4 linked regions of the Rattus norvegicus genome follow. The protein of the gene in region 4 purifies or fractionates together with the protein of the main gene of each other region. This does not show direct contact. Links are inferred from orthologs where the notes say so. Each region holds a gene or a part of one and is shown on either strand. Other genes may lie near its edges.

Evidence for each region. Proteins that work in one complex are often made in the same cells at the same time.
Region 1: the proteins of Dnajb6 (region 4) and Stip1 purify together in Homo sapiens (affinity purification with mass spectrometry; 3 studies listed by BioGRID and IntAct, with this or other methods). This does not show direct contact. The link is inferred for Rattus norvegicus from reciprocal best matches to the Homo sapiens genes DNAJB6 and STIP1.
Region 2: the proteins of Dnajb6 (region 4) and Mlf2 purify together in Homo sapiens (affinity purification with mass spectrometry; 3 studies listed by BioGRID and IntAct, with this or other methods). This does not show direct contact. The link is inferred for Rattus norvegicus from reciprocal best matches to the Homo sapiens genes DNAJB6 and MLF2.
Region 3: the proteins of Dnajb6 (region 4) and Bag2 purify together in Homo sapiens (affinity purification with mass spectrometry; 4 studies listed by BioGRID and IntAct, with this or other methods). This does not show direct contact. The link is inferred for Rattus norvegicus from reciprocal best matches to the Homo sapiens genes DNAJB6 and BAG2.

Annotation. Positions count from the first base shown.
Region 1 is NC_086019.1:213,654,855-213,658,785, reverse strand, and holds the start of Stip1 (stress-induced-phosphoprotein 1), read left to right. Parts: upstream 1-1,131; 5' UTR 1,132-1,196; coding exon 1,197-1,205; intron 1,206-3,931. UniProt on the Homo sapiens protein: Acts as a co-chaperone for HSP90AA1. Mediates the association of the molecular chaperones HSPA8/HSC70 and HSP90.
Region 2 is NC_086022.1:159,425,176-159,429,198, reverse strand, and holds the start of Mlf2 (myeloid leukemia factor 2), read right to left. Parts: upstream 2,801-4,023; 5' UTR 2,560-2,800; coding exon 2,510-2,559; intron 2,291-2,509; coding exon 2,164-2,290; intron 1,921-2,163; coding exon 1,885-1,920; intron 905-1,884; coding exon 851-904; intron 556-850; coding exon 427-555; intron 262-426; coding exon 102-261; intron 1-101.
Region 3 is NC_086027.1:43,473,838-43,477,939, forward strand, and holds the start of Bag2 (BAG family molecular chaperone regulator 2), read right to left. Parts: upstream 2,801-4,102; 5' UTR 2,781-2,800; coding exon 2,668-2,780; intron 1-2,667. UniProt on the Homo sapiens protein: Co-chaperone for HSP70 and HSC70 chaperone proteins. Acts as a nucleotide-exchange factor (NEF) promoting the release of ADP from the HSP70 and HSC70 proteins thereby triggering client/substrate protein release.
Region 4 is NC_086022.1:6,229,205-6,233,218, reverse strand, and holds the start of Dnajb6 (dnaJ homolog subfamily B member 6), read left to right. Parts: upstream 1-1,214; 5' UTR 1,215-1,305; intron 1,306-4,014. UniProt on the Homo sapiens protein: Has a stimulatory effect on the ATPase activity of HSP70 in a dose-dependent and time-dependent manner and hence acts as a co-chaperone of HSP70. Plays an indispensable role in the organization of KRT8/KRT18 filaments.

The sequences.
Region 1 (3,931 bases), on a different chromosome or scaffold from region 4:
GCTCACCCCTGTAATTTCAGCACTCTCCCTCTCCGAAACAGGGTCTCACTACATAATTCTGTTACATATAGTTCTGGCTATCCTAGACCTCACTATGTAGACCAGGCTAGCCTCAGAGATCCGCCTGCCTCTGCTTCCTGAGTCCTGTATGCCACTACCGCTCATTTCCTCCGATCTTAAGCGAGGCAGGAGAAAGAACTAGGTAAGGGGTAACCTGATGGAGAGGGTGTGCATTGGCGCTACTGGCACAGACAGGGTAGCACAGAGCCCAGGTTCCTCATCCAAGCCCTGTCCAGACCCCTGATCAGTCTCTGTTGTTTCATAAACTACACGCTAAGCCTGTAACCAATGTAGCATTTCTGCTGGCAGGCCACGGTGATCAAAGCTTGCAACTGAGTTCAGAGAGTGTAGCTCCACTAAGGACAAGTGGCAGGTCAGCCGGGACACGGCCGGGAAAGCGGAGGCCTGTCCTGGCCCGCAGCATTTTGGAAAAATTCAGCAAAGGCCCGCTGTGGCCCGCAACATTTTGGGAATATTCCGGGCCTAACAGACGCGATGTAAGGAAGCGCGGGCCAACACCGGAGAACAGTTTATATCGCTGCAGTTAAAAGCCTCAGCGACACCCGGCCAGATGCTCGACTCCCAGGAACCACCAGCCGAGCACCCTTACAGGGCAGCGGCCTAAACCAATCAGCGCCAAGTATGACCAATTTCTCCCCACCCATCCACCCAATTGAATTTCTTCTCTGAAAGGCGGTTCCGTCTAGGAGGCCTTCAGCCCAATGAGAGTTGTGGAAATTTCCAGAAAGAACAGGACCAATGGGCGCGGCCAGGTCAGCTATAATTGACGGACTCAGCAACCAATCCGTGTCGTCAAGGACCGGTTCTCCCTCAGTTAGCCCAGCCCCGAAATGGGCGGGGCTCGTCTCGGATCGTCCAATTCCGAGGTGCAGAGGAGGCAGGGCTAAAGAGAAGACCCACAGAAAACCAATGAAAGAGAAGTTATGATGATTGACTGGACTTTAATCCAATAGTAGAGGCGCACAGAGCCTCCTGGACGGCTCAACCAGTGAGCAGGCGAGGAAGGGGCGGTAACCTGGGGGTCCCGGCAGCTTCTAGTAGGTTCCAGAAGGCGGCGCGTGCGGTTGGGAACGCGGAGCGGACGAATTCGATTCAACGGGGTTCCGGGCCAGGCTATGGAGCAGGTGAAGGGGGAGGGGCGGCCGGGGCTCCGGGGCAACGCAGGCCTGTTGGCGAGGAGAAGCAAGTGGTCGGGGGCCTGGCCACGCGGCCGAGGCGCGGGCGTGAGGGCCGCGGTCAGGCGTGTGAAGGGAGAATGGCGAGCGCCAGTCGCCCCCGCGACCCGCCGAGTGGAGCGGGAACAGGCCTGGCCGCGGCCAGGCCCCGAGGCTTCTGGGTGCGGGGCTGCCTCAGCGCGGGGAGGCCCCGGCCGGCCGCTGCAAACTTGGAGGGATCCGGTGACCGATCACCTCGGCAGCCTTCGGGGTACACGGCATCTCTTTGCGCCCGGGAAAGGGGCCCGCGCGACTGTGCACAGAAGGCGGGCGCGGATAGTGTCATCGAGTCTCCCTGAGGCTCCAGATACATATGTCGCCCCTCCCCCCTTTTTTCTTGGTGACTGTAGGGTGACTGAGGATCTGACCCTTGGAAATTCCGTTCCCAATAACACAGGATTTAGTGATTTTAGACAGTTGGGAGCCGATAGTGAGGAGCTAGAAGTCCCTGCCTGCCTCTTCCGCTCAGCATCTGGGGCACAGAGGCAAACCTGCTGTCCTTACCTTGGTGACTTAGCTCAGGCCACAGTGGCCTGCATCTGTGAGGCCTGGAGAGGTTTTGTTACCTTGGAAGCTGTCATTGAACCGTTGTGATTCAGCCAAACACAGAAAAAAAGAGCACAGCTTACTACTTTTACTGTGATGGATAAAGTGAAACCTTTTGTTCTGGAAGAGCCACTGTGAGGGACCACGGGGCCTCTCTGCTTGTTAGTAAGACTAAATGAGAGGTTAATTAACTTTTTTGTACCCTTGGAGTAATTAAGTTGTAACTGAGATAGGTAGGCTGCAGTACAGACAAGAGAAACGCTTTTTGGAATAAGCAGCACCTTGCTCTGTTAAAACAAAAAGGAGTTAGTTGTTTTCCTTTATCATTCATTCATTTATTTAGTGTGTGGTGCTAGGGATCAAACCCAGGGCCTGGAGAATTCAGAACTATGGTCTACCACAGCCATCCTCCCCAACCTCCTCAGGGGAAAAAAAAATCCTGCCAGCCATTGTACAAGTGTTCATGTAGATAGTAAAGTAAGTGAATGGCTGAGCCCAGGACTGCAAAATAAGATTTCAGTGTTGGGCTTAGAGATGGTTCAGTTGGTAAGGACGTGTAAGAATGAAGACTTGAGTTCAGATTCTTAGTACCCACTAAAACGTAGGGAGGAGGGGAGACTGGAGGATCTTAGTCTGTGAGCTCCAGGTTCTTTGAGAGATCCTATCTCAGTAAGGTGGAGAGCATTAGAGGAAGAAACCCTGACTCCAACTTCTGCCCTGTGCACTAGCTGACACACAAATAAATTTGAATATTGAAAATTGTACATTGAAAGAACTCTTTCAGGTAACTCCTACAGTGACTTGTAGTTTACATTTTTTTTTTTTTTTTTTTTTTTGGTTCTTTTTTTCGGAGCTGGGGACCGAACCCAGGGCCTTGCGCTTCCTAGGTAAGTGCTCTACCACTGAGCTAAATCCCCAGCCCCTAGTTTACATTTTTAAGATTTATTTTTGCTAGGCATGGTTGTGCATGCAGTGAAGTTTAGCACTCCTGAGGAAGAGGCAGACTGATCTCTGAGTAAGTAACCGGACAGCCAGAGTTTCGTATGAGGCCCTGTCTCAAAAAAAAACCAAGGGGTTGGGGATTTGGCTCAGTGGTAGAGCGCTTAAGGCCCTGGGTTTGATCCCCAACTCCAAAAAAAAAAAAAAAAAAAAAAAAACCAAACCAAAAACCCAAAACATTTTTAATGCCCGGTGTGGTAGCACAGGTCTTTAATACCAACACTTGGAAAGCAGAGGCAAACAGATCTACAGCTTTGTCTACATAGTGGAGTTACAAGATCAGCTATCAGTAAAGAGACCCTGACTGCAAACACAGATGAGTTTTTATTTGTGTACTGTGTGCTCTTTTTCTCCCTTGGCCTTCCTGTAAAGGAATGGCATTTGGCAGTTTCATGTCTTTCCTTTACTTCTTGCCCGTCATCCTCCTTCCCTGAGAACAGGGTCCCTGCTTCTAAGTGTTGGAGTTACAGAGCAAACCCAGACCAATGGAAATTTCTGATTGGTGTGCCTTGGGATTCTAAAAGCATCTGAAAGAAAAATTCTGTGTCAGTCTTGTCAATCATAAGTAGATAATAGTTTCATAATAGGTGCTGTAATAATTTCAGTACAGTTTGACTCAGTGGTTTGGTCTTGCTGGCCTCACATTTAATATATATAGCCAAGAGATGACCTCCTTATTCTCCTGCTTCCACTTTATAAGTCCTGAAATAATAATAGGTGTATGTCACTGTGCTTGGTGCTGGTATCCAGCCTGGTGCTTCAAGTGAGTTACATCCCAGTGACATAAGTATACATCCTACTCCACTAGTGTTTACTCTTTGCTTGGCTTTAAAAGAGAGCTGCTAGCCTGTGGTAGTTTTAATCTGAGTACTTGGGAGGGAGGCGGAAGTGGAAGCTGGCAGATCCCTGAGTACGAGGACAGCCAGGGCTACACAGAAACCCTGTCTTGGAAAGTCAGTGGTGGTGTGCTGTGAAGCTGTTTTTTTTTTTTTTCCCCATAGCTAGCTTATATATGCAGTTTTTTGTTGTTGTTGTTGTTGTTTTCTGAGATTTTTTTTTTAAATTTCTGTGTAGCCCTGGGTATCCTGAAA
Region 2 (4,023 bases), about 150 Mb from region 4:
AAGGAAGGAAGGAAGGAAGGAAGGCAGGCAGGCAGGCAGGCAGGCAGGCAGGCAGGCAGGCAGGCAGGCAGGCAGGCTGGCTGAGTGGCTGGCTCACTCACTTTCGTCCAGGTTGATGTAGTCCTGCCGCTCCTCCTGGTCGCCCGTGCGGTGGTTTCGGGAGCGCTGGAGGATGTGGGCCCTATCCCGAATGTGATGCCCAATGGACATCTGCTCTAGGCCACTGTCTGAGTCCCGGACAGTCCTCCGTGTCTCCCGGATCTGGGACAAAGGGACCAGACACATGCAATTGTCCCCACAAAGCCCTGGCTACATCACCCTGGATGAACACACCACCCACGACCCATTCCTGAAAAAAGACGTCCCTGGTTCCTGTGTGTGCCAATCAGTCCTACCTCCTCTGAGATAGGGGAGTTCCTTACTCACCCCGCCTGGGGCAGAGCGCATCTCAGATGTCTCCTGGTAAACCTTGGGGGCACCATCCCCAGTGTTGGAGTAGGAGATGACCGTGGAGGAAGAGAAGGTCTGGCAGTTGCCTCCGGCGGCCATGTGCTCCTGAGGAGAGACTGAATGAGGAGGGCCTACTTTGCAGAAGGGAGCTCCCTCCAGCTGACTGCTCTTGCCTCAGCTTTCTTAACTACACAAGGAGAATGGGCATCACAACTGCCCAACTCCCTAGCCCAACACTAACACATGTGATCGCTCAGGGGTATAAGAACACACACAGGACCCCGGTGCTCTGGCTCAGCTCAGTCCAACCCAGCCTCTTCACTAGCACATCACCTCACCCCCTCCCGCCATGTTGGCTGCCACCGAGATCAAGGCCGGGGAAGACTGGAGCAAGTCATACCATGTTCCCAATCATGTCGTTCATCATCCCAAACATGTCCATGAAGCCGCCGGACTGAGGAAAGGAGAGGGTCAGGAAGATGGGTCAGCGGTTGTGGGCCTGTCACTCACCTGAGGACAGACCCGCTTTCCTTCTTAAATGTAGCCAGAACACTCATGCTCCTCCCCATAAGCTGCTGGCCACCTTCTCGGGTCTGTGGCTGTTCTGATGCTTCTCCTACCTGTGCATTTCCCTATCTTTAAGGAAGTGACCCAAAAGCAGTGAGTTAGCTCCTCTGAACATGCTAAATGTTGACGGTTTGCCTTTAATCCAACACTGGGAGGCAGAGGCAAGCACAGATGACTTGTGGCCAGCCTGGTCTACAGAGTGAGTTCCAGGAGACCCAGGGCTGTTATAAAGAAACCTTGTCTCAAAAAACCAAAATCCAAGACATCGACCAAAAAACCCTCTGAATATCTAGAGTTGTAAAAGTGTCCCAAAGTCTCCCTCCTCAAAAGAACTGCTATACAATCTTACTTTCCCCAGTGGATAAGAACTTCCAGCTATCAGGAGTATTTGAGCACTTTATTTATATTTTTCTATGAATGAGTGTTCTGTCTGCATGTATGTGTTCCCTCCATTCATGCAATGCACGGTAGGGAACAGAAGATGGCATCAGATGCCTGGAGACTACAGACAGACAGTTGTGAGCTGTCATGTGGGTGCTGGGAACCAAACCCTGGTTGTCTGGAAGAACAGCCAGGTGCTCTTAACCCTGGAGCCATTTCTCTAGCCCTAGCTCCATGATTTATATTCAATGGGCTCTAAACTATGTCAACTATCCAGAGAAGATTTTGAGACCACCCCTAGACTAACATTGTCACCAAAGTGGCACATCTGAAAATAACATCTAAGGTCTGTGTGTATCTGTGTGTCAGAGAAAGAGAGAGACAGAGACACAAAGAGCCAGAAGAGAGAGACAGACAGAGACACAGGAGAGAGAGAGAGAGAGAGAGAGAGCGAGCTCGAGGGGAACAGAGAAGACAAGAACTCACCATTCCCAACATCCCAAAGGGAGAGACAGCCCCAGCCTACAAGATAAGGAACAGAAGTTAGAACTACATCCTACGACCTTACTATACCAAACGTGGCCAGTGCCTCCATCCCCCAACCCCATCCTTCTCTCCTCGGGAGTCAAAGCCCCCTTTCCCAGATTCTCTATCCCCACTCCTCTGCCTCCCACACAGATCATGTCCTTTTAAAGCTGGTTGTAGGACCAGAATGGCAGCATACTTAACTAGTCACCCTGGGTCTCGGTATGTTCCAACTGTTACCTGCATCCTGCGGCTGGCAGGCCTGGTTGCTGGCATGTTACCATCTGTGATGCTTAGGAAGGGGCTATATCCAAAGCCACCTGACAACATGCGGCTCATATGCTGACGGTGAATTGCAAAGGGGTCCCTGTGGAGTGAGCATACAATACAGACGGCAGATTAAACCCCAGCCTTCTTCACCTCCCCCCAAATAAGTCAGGGTGCGCAGTGGCAGGAGACCAACTCCCGTCTGAGAGCTGCAGCTAAATTCTATCCGGTTCCAGACACGGGAACCCAGAGGTCTGTCTGAACTGCTCAGACCTGAATTAGAGTGGGATGAGTGCACGAGGGGGGAGGGAATTCTCACATCAGGAACATGGGATCCTCAGGCTCCACGTCCCTCATGAAGCGGAACATCCTGATCTCAGCTCCAGGGGGCTCCACACTGTGAAGATACGGAGGCTGAGTTTCATGCAGGCTTATGCACACCAGCTCAGTGTAGCTACTCTTAAAGCTGTCTCTTGCACACACTATCAATGACCCATCCAAACTCCAGAGAGACCCTTCGGCAGGTGGACCACATAACCTTCTAGTTTTGAGAGCGAGTAGCTCTCCAAGCCGGTCACGGAATTTTCCCCAAGCTTCTTAGTGTTGCCCCTCCACCCCCGCCCGCCATCCTCTTCCCCGAGCCACGGTCAGCTCCTCCTCCGACGCCAGTCTCGATGAGAATCTCGAACGGCGGCCCGCCACCCCATTAATGACCCCAACTACTCCGCCTTCTGCTGGCACGGGCCGCTACCAGGCCTCTCCGGGCGGGCCTCACTGCCCACCGAGCCGGTCCGCCGCTGCCCCAACCCGTGCCTCCCGCCGGGCGAGCCGGAGAGGGAGGTCCACTCCCGGGCTCGCATCCCTGCAACCGTGCGGGCCGCGCCGCCCTGGCCTCACCGGTCCCCGACTCGGGCTCAGCGGCCCATCCGGCCGGCCTCTCCTCGGGGCGCTGCAGGAGCAGGGTCTCGGCCCGGGACGCAGGGATTGGTCCGCGCGGGAGCTTCTCGCCTCCCGCACCGCCTCCTGCCTTCAGCTGCCACCTCCGTACCCCCGCCCTCGGCCCGAGGAGCCGAACCTCGGTCAGGCCCGAGCGGAAGTGACGTCATGACGGACAGTCTTGGGGGCGGGCCACGGGAGCTCCACCCACCTGCATGGGAGGGGGCGGCGGGCTCGCGGCGGAGCCCCGGAGGGCGGGTCCTCTGGGGCCGGTGGGAGGTCTCGTTAAGCTGGCACGGGGATCTGGGGACAGGAAGAGGCTCCTGCAAAGGTGGGGGAGGGCGGAGCGGAATCGGGAGGGACTGGTTGAGCGCGACGGGGGCAGGGTGTGCCGCACCTTCTTTGCGGGAGGGGGGAGGCGGTCTGTCTGGGGGCGACCGGTGGGGCGGATCCCTGCGGGGACCTTTAAACTCAGTGCAGGAGGGGCGCTTAACCAGGGGAGCGCGGGGGCCTGTCCCTCTGGAGAGACGCTCCGGCGGGCGGGGTCCTCCGAGTGACGCAGAGGAGGAGGTGACAATTTAGCTCAGGTCTAGTTCAGCCTTGGAAAAGGCCAACCAGGGAAGGGATGTTGGGAGTTTGGCCGCCAGAGAGCGCTCCTGGGCCAGGCTGGATCTTTACTGCCTTAGGACACCGGGTTGGCTTAGGCTTCTGGACCACTCCAAGACCTGTCTGTGAAGGGTTGGCCTGGGCAAAAGCGTTAGTTCTGATGTTTGCTTTTTGTTGTCGGCTTTTTAGTTTTGGCTTTAGTGCTCAGGATCCAACTGAGGGCTTCGGGTTTGCCAAGCACATGTCCTACCACTAAGTTACATTCCAGTCCCATTTCTCTAGCTCTTACGT
Region 3 (4,102 bases), on a different chromosome or scaffold from region 4:
TCCTTCCCACCAAGTCCCATCACAGCCCATCGTTCTCACTGCTAAAAGATAATAACGCCCTCCTCCCTCGGGGGTTTTATAAGATTCAAATGACAGTGTGCACGAAAAGCGTTCCTTCTAAATTACAGACTGTTAACGACAAATTAAATATGGTGTCAACTTGCTTTGTGGGTCCTGGAACACTGGCACATGCTAACAGGAACCTTAAACAGTCAGAAACCAAAGCAGGGGGTGGCCCGTTTCCCTGGCCCCTGCTGGCTGAGTGAACTGGGAAGGAGCTGCTCACCACATGATCGGTTTTGGGAGATGTGTAAGCAGCCGATCTCCCAGTCCTACCAACCATTATACCTCCTTGGCCAATGTCCAAAGCCCAGCCCCTGACCCACAGCTCCTAGAAGCTACTCAATAACAGACATGCTCCAGGTCTTCAATGTTTACTGACTCAAACGCTAAATTGATTTTCTTCTCTTTTAGTAAAATCATATTCATTCATAGGTCAGACGGACAGTTTGAAAAGTGATATTCAAGACCAGGACACATGGTGTTGACCTGAGCAGCCGGTCTTCCCGTGTTCACATGTGAAGTGCTCTGCTCTGGACTGAAGCATGTTGTGTATATCTGAGCTTCAACTTCTCATCTGCGCAATACAGATAACGGTAACTCCCCCAGAGACACGAGGCCTAGCCTACAGACTGATGCTAACATGGATGATTTATAAACTAGGATAACCACTAAAGAGTAAGGCGTTCGGCCTCGACAAGCGCAGAATCCCCATAGAGCTGGTCATGTAAATCAGGAAAGGACGGGATTATCTTTTTAGAGAAAGCACTGCAGGAGAGGAGGCGTAGTAATAAAATATTGTTTTAATGTAAGATGGTGTCGTTAATATCATAAGCCATTAGAAACAAACGGCATCTGTTACCGATTTATAAAACATTTTAAAGCATTTCGGACACCCCCCGAGGTCAGTTCATCCTGCAGGACATAAAGCCTTTGATGTGGTTTCAGTCCACAGAACCAGTTCAACTGAATGGAAGATGCACACTGGCTACCAACCAATGACTTACACTACCCCATCCACTGCTTTTCCCACACATGGGCACTAAGAAAGTTGGAGGGACGTCACAGGAGCGTCATCTTTCTCTACCCATGTTTGAAAAGCCTAATTTTAAAGTGTCCTGCTCTGTGACACTGTCCAGGTGGCTTCTAAAAAGGGCCCCCAAACCTTAAAAGGCAGCATCATCCCTCCCCCCATTTCTTTCACCTTCTGACAAACTTACTTCTAAGTGCGCATCACATTTTTAAAGAGAAACAAGACTTACAGAAATCTGCGCTTACTGGTAAAGGCCTTGAACCACTAAACACACAGTAAGAAACCCCCTTCAGCGCAACTGTTAATAAGTAACATAATTTAATCTCCTATGGGCCGGGAATTGAGATTCCTTTGACGTAGTCAGACATTAGAATGTAACACTAAGCAACCCCCAGACTTTCAAGAGGCCCCCAGGAGGAGAGGAGGGACTCAGCACATGGCCGGCAGGGATTAACTCAAGTTTCTGAACAATGACTCAGCTTGAGGAAGAGTGACAACTTCCTGAACCCTTCAAGGAAAAAAAAAATCGGAGCAGTTGAGAATGTACTGTCAAAGTTCGGAGCCTACCTCACAGAGGGAAACACTCCTCTCTTTTCAGAGGGGCTTTAATGCTGACCCCCTCCCTTCTCAGCATAGGTCCCTTTGTCTCCCTCCGGTTTGGGGGACATAGGGTTCAGGCTTCTCTTGTGGTTGCTACTCCAGAGACTAAAAGTTTCTCACCTTCTGGTTCTTTTCTCCTAATAGTAAAAATAGCGAACACCTCAATTGTAACAAACACTGCTTGTATTTTTCTGTGCAAACATACTGTGTTTGGTGGATGCACGGAGAGAGATGAAGACGCACAAGACTCTTAAGATTTTGGCTCATATTTCTGCTTATGCAGAACCTGGAGAAAACTAGGGAACAACATGTGTCAGGGTGTCTCCATACGATTTTCATGGAACAGCGCCTGCACACAATCAAAACTTGCACAACTTTGGAGACCTTAACGTTCCCACCAGATACACCGGGGCTCATGTTGCTAAAGCCAAGTATTCACAGCATCTGCTAGTAGTATTCACGATTTAGAAATTTTACTACAAGGCCGTCCCCGTGATAGAATCTCAGGGAGAGTGTGACGCCTGCCTTTGGTGTTTTCAGACCTGCGACTGGCACTTCCCAAGTGTCAGCTGTGTCTTCTAAACGCACAACATACACGGACAGACTGCAGAGGGCACTGCACGTGGTTAAGAGAAGGAAGGATGGTATCCAACTTCGGTATCTCGCGCGGCCCCTTTTGAGTCTGATTCTCGCTGGTCCCCCGGAGGGGCAGTCCTGGGTTTTTTCTTTTTTAAAACTTACTCTTGTGTTACTATGAAGTGATCTGGGGCAAAGAAACTTATTACAGGGGAGGGGGGAAGGACCACACCAACCTGCTGCCTGCCCCCTGGAAGCGGGAAAGTTAAAGGCAGAGGGGGACCGCGCCGAAGGATCTGGAAGTTCTGCAAGCCGCACTGGCTCGCCGCGCTGCCGGCCGGGGGAGGGGAGCCCACCCGGAGCGCGCCCCCGCCCGCGCGCGCCCCCGCCGCCCTCACCTGAGCTCCAGCTGGTCCAGGCTCTCCAGCAGGCGGCTGGAGCGGTCGGCCATGGAGGACGAGCGGCAGAAGCGGCCCTCGTGGGCCTTGGCGCTGATCTTCGCCTGGGCCATGAGCTCCGGGGGTCCTCGGCGTCCGCGGGTAGCAGTGGCGCGGGCCGCACGTCGCCGTCACCGCAGGCGCCGCTGACGCGGACGGCACCGCCCCCACCTCCCAGGCTCCCCACCCCCGAGGCCGCGCGGCCAAACAAGGGCAGGCGCGGGCGCAGCCGCCCGCACGCCTGGGTGGGGGACCCTGCCCCGGGGCGCCGAGGGCCCACGCCGTTCCTCCCAGCACCCACGATTCACAGCAAGGACGTAGTGGGTGCTGCCCGTGACGTGGGGAGAGCCGGAGACAATTCAGGACGCCCTAAAGGGCAGTCTCTACTTGCCCGACCTGTCGGGTGACCAGGCGGGCTCCGGAGAGTCCAGGGAAAGCCTGGACCACAGGCTCCAAATAAGGAGAAGCCAAGTGCATCTGTGTTGTCTTGCCTTTCCAATGAAAGGATTATTACTTTCACACATAACTTGTTTAAATCCTCTGCGAATGATATTCGGTAGGCTCATGTGTCAGAAGCTGTAGAGGTCAGCAGGGCTGAAGTACAAAGCCGCGTCCACTTAAAGTCGTGTTTTGCTCTCTCAATGCACAGGATACAGAAATGCACAGGGAAACAAAGTTCATTTACTTCCTTCACTCAGAACTCAAAGCCATTAGATCACTGAACAGAGACAAGCCCCTTAAGTACGACTGGCTTCTAGTCCCACCCCTCCACCCCCCACCCCATCCTTATCCTGAACTCATCTTAATACTAATGAGCGGTGGATTATCTTGGCTTCATTAAACACGGTCATCTCACGACACGACCGAGAAATCTGAACATTTTGTGGACGTCTTGGAAGTCTGAGCTTGGGCAAGTCTCAGGTCTAATGCTCCGCTGGAGGCTGAGACAGAGTTGTGTGAATTAGGCCAGAGTGAATTCAAGGCTAGGCTGGGAAGCTTCAGCAAGCGCCTGTGTCAAAAGAAAAATAAAAGGGGCTGCAGACACAGCTCTGCGGTAGAGTGTCTGCCTCTGTGCTAGGTTGGCAACTAAGCCAGGCAGATGTGGTTGTTTGAATTCCCCCTCCCTGTACTCTCTGTCCTCATCACCAGGGAGGACTTAGGTGAGGCCTCGCTGGAGGAAGTGTATCCCTATGGGCAGGTTTGAAAAGATTCAAGCTATTCCTAGTGTCTCTCTGCCTCGACTTGGGTTTGAGATGTGAGTGCTCAGGGCATCTCTGTGGCCATTATAGACTCAGACCCTCTGTATCTAAGTTCAATTAAATGCTTTATTTTACAGGTTGCCTTGGTCATGATGTTTTATCACAGCAGGAGGAAAGTAACTAAAGTAACAAGCATC
Region 4 (4,014 bases):
AGCCCTCCTGTTAGCTGTAGGAGTTTATATAACTTCTCCACATGGGGGGTGAGCAGTGGGTGGGCCACTGAGAAGAGTCAGAGCCCTCAAAATCAGGACAGACTGAGTATGGTGCTGACCTTAGTCCATAAAGTCAGGCAGATGCGGCTCGGGGGTACAGCATTGGAACTGTGTACGTACATTCAGCTGTCCTGGAATTAGCTGTGGACCAGGCTGTAGAAAATGTGCAAAATGCCTTTGGTTCGGCATCTCAATGAAAACTAGGCCCGGTGGTTGTGAAGGATGTCATCCCAAACCTGTAATTCTGGAAAGTTCAAAGTCAGAGGGAGCAACTAAGCTGCAACCTTTTCAAAAGAGGGCTGGGGTAGGCTTCTAGGGTAGAGTGTTTAGCATGTACAAAGCCTTGGGGTTCAATGTCTACCACTAGGAAAATCAAATTTTGCACTCAAAAACAAAACAAAAACGAGCAAAGGAAAAAAAAAGAATGCCATGTGGTAAGAAGGTGGTTGAGGGTCTGGAGAGGTGGTTCAGTGGTTAAGAGCACTGGCTGTTCTCCCAGGAAGTCTTGAGTTCTATTCCCAGCATCCACATGGCGGCTCACATCACCTGTAATGGGAACCGATGTCCTCTTCTGGTTTGCCTGAAGACAGTGACAGTATACTCATATTCATAAAATAAATTCATCTTTATTTTAAAAAAGTGGTTGAAATCCAGATTCGGCACTCCATGTAAGTAATGATGGGGCCTCTCACGGTTCAAGTAAGATCAGGGCTGGGGACGGGGCACTGAGGAGGATCTAAGTCGGGACCACAGCTCTCAACGTCCATTGGGAGTGTGAGTCATATTATGCTAGCAGCTCGTTATCTCAGAATCCACAGTCAGAGGCTGTGAGCGTCCTTCCTCCCAGCCTGCTTCCGGCAAACGCAGGATTGTCTACAGGTCGCCTCAGGCTTTAGAGTCCTCCAGGCTCAGGGCTTGCGAAAGGTGGCGGTTTCCCACTCTATTCAGTCGCCTATATAAACCCTCTAGAGTTCCACCATGCTCAGCTCCGAGAATCTTCAGGTCTGGGAGACGCGCGCTATCGGATCCGACGACCAAGGAAGCTGCTGTGCACGCTAGCTTCAGGGCCGGGCGGAAGTCGACGTCGCCGCGCCGCCACCGCGTGACGCACTTCCTGTTTGTTGTTGGAGAAAAGGAGAGAAAGGAAAGCGCGAGGAGACGCCGCCACCGCCACCAGCGCACTGTGCCAGAGCCGCGAGGAGACCGGCCGCCTGACTTCCCCCCTCGCTGGCCGCCGCGTCCTCGGTGAGGGTCCGCGTATTGGGGCGGAAAGCGGGGTTGACTGCGGCGGGAGGAGAGGGTTTGCGGGTGAGCTAACCCGCTTGGCACCCGGAATACGGGTTCTGGAAACCGGCTCGACAGTGGGGCCGGCGGGTATTGCTCGCTAGGGCCGAACGGGTCCCAGTCCAAGCTGTAGTCTGTGTCTAGTTCTTGGTCTGGGCTGGTTCTAGGTTGGGTCTGTAGAGAGCGTTTTTGCGGTTCCTGGTCAGGCCTAGCTTGGGGCTTAGCTCCGGTCCGCTTCCCAGGCTCTCTGGTTAGCAGTGGCGGTTGGGGCCCGGCACGCGCTAGGTCGGCCGCAGAGCTCCAGGAGTCGGCGAGGCTGGTGTCACCGTGTCCTGGTGTCCTCAGTGCATTCTGTAAGCAAGGGGTCAGGTGGCATGCGAAGAGCAGAACTCCCAGGAAGGCACAGTCACTGGCCCAGGCCACCAGGCTGCGAAGGGGGCCGGTGAGAAGGCCAAGGCGGTTTGGTTTCCAGGATGCTCCTGGGACTGTTGGGGAAGTTTGCTAGGCGATCTGCCTGGCTTAGTTTACTTTTAAAACTCGTTTGCTGTTGGCCTTGAAGGTTGCTTTGCTGTGGTTTATGTAATAAAGTTTATGTAACTGAAGTTTACATTAAGTCTTAATTTACTTCGGCTGTGTAGACTAGGGAACTCTGCACTGCAAACTGAAAGGTTGTCTTAAAATTTTTTTTTTTTTTTGAGACAGAGAGTTTTACAGAATGAGTTTGTCAAGTTTTAAAAGCTTTGTTACCGAAGCTGTTTGTGAACCGTTGATAGGGAATGGCGGGGATGGTCCCACCTAATAAGGTGGGGAATGCCTACAGTGAGGAGTGTGTGCCCACCTTATTATTGTTGTTATTATTATTATTATTATTATCGTTTTTATTAGAATCATAGATTTGTGGTTAGGGTTTGTGCATTCGATCTAGACCCTAGAATCTTAGGAGATTCTGCTTGCTAGGGAAATAAGTGATAGCTACTATAAGGCAACCGTTTTAGTAGAAATATTGGATGTAAAAGCCAGAGGAGGGAACAGCTAAAGAGCAGGCGTCTTGACATTTGATACCTGAAATGAAGTGTATCAGACTTACTGATACCTGAAAGAAAGTTTTCATATCTGTTACCGTACTCCTTGTCCTTTGGGACGTCACCACCACAGGTGGAATTGCCCTCTGGTGTGTGATTACTATGTGATCAGTACAGACACTTGCAGTGAACTTCGGGTAGAGCTTTGGGATTAGGAAGAACATGAAATACGGGAAGAAATGCTGCCTTTTGTAGGAATGGGTTAATTAATTTATTATATATAAGTACACTGTAGCTATCTTCAGACACACCAGAAGAGGGCATCAAATCTTATTACAGATGGTTGTGAGCCACCATGTGGTTGCTGGGAATTGAACTCAGGACCTCTGGGAGAGCAGTCAGTGTTCTTAACCACTGAGCATCTCTCCAGCTCCAGTCTTCTCTTCTGTTCACTCTTTTGCCCAGGCAGACCTCTTAGATTTCCGGCCCTCTTGTGTCTCTTGGAAGTTGTTCCCCCCACCCGAAACCCCTGCCCGAGACAGAAGATGGGGTTTCTTTGTGTATCCCTGGCTGTCCTGAATTTGCTCTGTATACCAAGCTGGCCTTGAATTCAGATTCCTCTGCCTCTGCCCTCCTAAGTGCACTGAAGGCAGTACTCACTATGTCCAGCTGAGAAAGTTGGCTTTTAAAATATTTTTATTGTGTTTATGTGTGTGTATATATGAAATGTGTATCTTATAGCCTATGCCTGGGAATCCGACTTTCTGGCCAGTATGCTCTGTTTATATAGCTGTGCACTGCCAGTGCTGAGTTTGTTCTTTTTGATTTTGAGTTTAGGGTCTCAGCGTGTTAACCTGGAACCCAATGATCAGCCTCCCAAGCGCTGAGATCAAAGATGCACCACCACATCCTGCCCTTTTTTCTTCTACCTCTTGACTACAGGTCTCACTTTTTAGCTGTAGCTTGGTATATAGATCAGGCTGGCCTTGAATTCTGCTTTGACTTCACTAATATTCCCCATGCTTGGCCCAGAGTACATACAATGTTAGGGAGTCAACTCTCTATTTCAGTAGGTTCCTGGGATGGAATTTAGGTTGTAAGACAAGTGGGACTGAATTGTTTGGCCAGCTGGCCAACTCCATAGCCTGACAAGTTTGCTTTTGTTCAGTGGAAGATGAACAAGTGAACTCAGATCATTGAGCTTTAGAGTGGAATATCTTAAAGAAATCATTGTCTGCCAGGCAATAATGGTCCATACCTTTAATCCTAGTATTCAGAAGGCAGAAAGAAGCAAGCTGATCTCTGAGAGCTGGAAGCCAACATGGTTTACAGTTGGAGTTTAGGACAGCCAGGACTACACAGTGAAACCCTGTCTCAGAAAAACCAAACAAAAAGCCAAACAAATTATTCCTTGAGTCAGAGGTGGACCAGTGTCCTCCTGAGTTGGATGTCACCTAGGTCTGTATAGTGAGATCTTCCTTAAAAACAAAAGTATTGTTGATTTCAGTGTTAGATGTGAGCTAAATAGTATATTGGGTAATGAATATTCTTGCAAACTGTGAAAACAGAAGTAGGAATTCCTCAGAATAGTGGCTCTACTGTCAGAGTTAAGTGACAATACCATTTCCCTATGTAAACCTGTATTGTA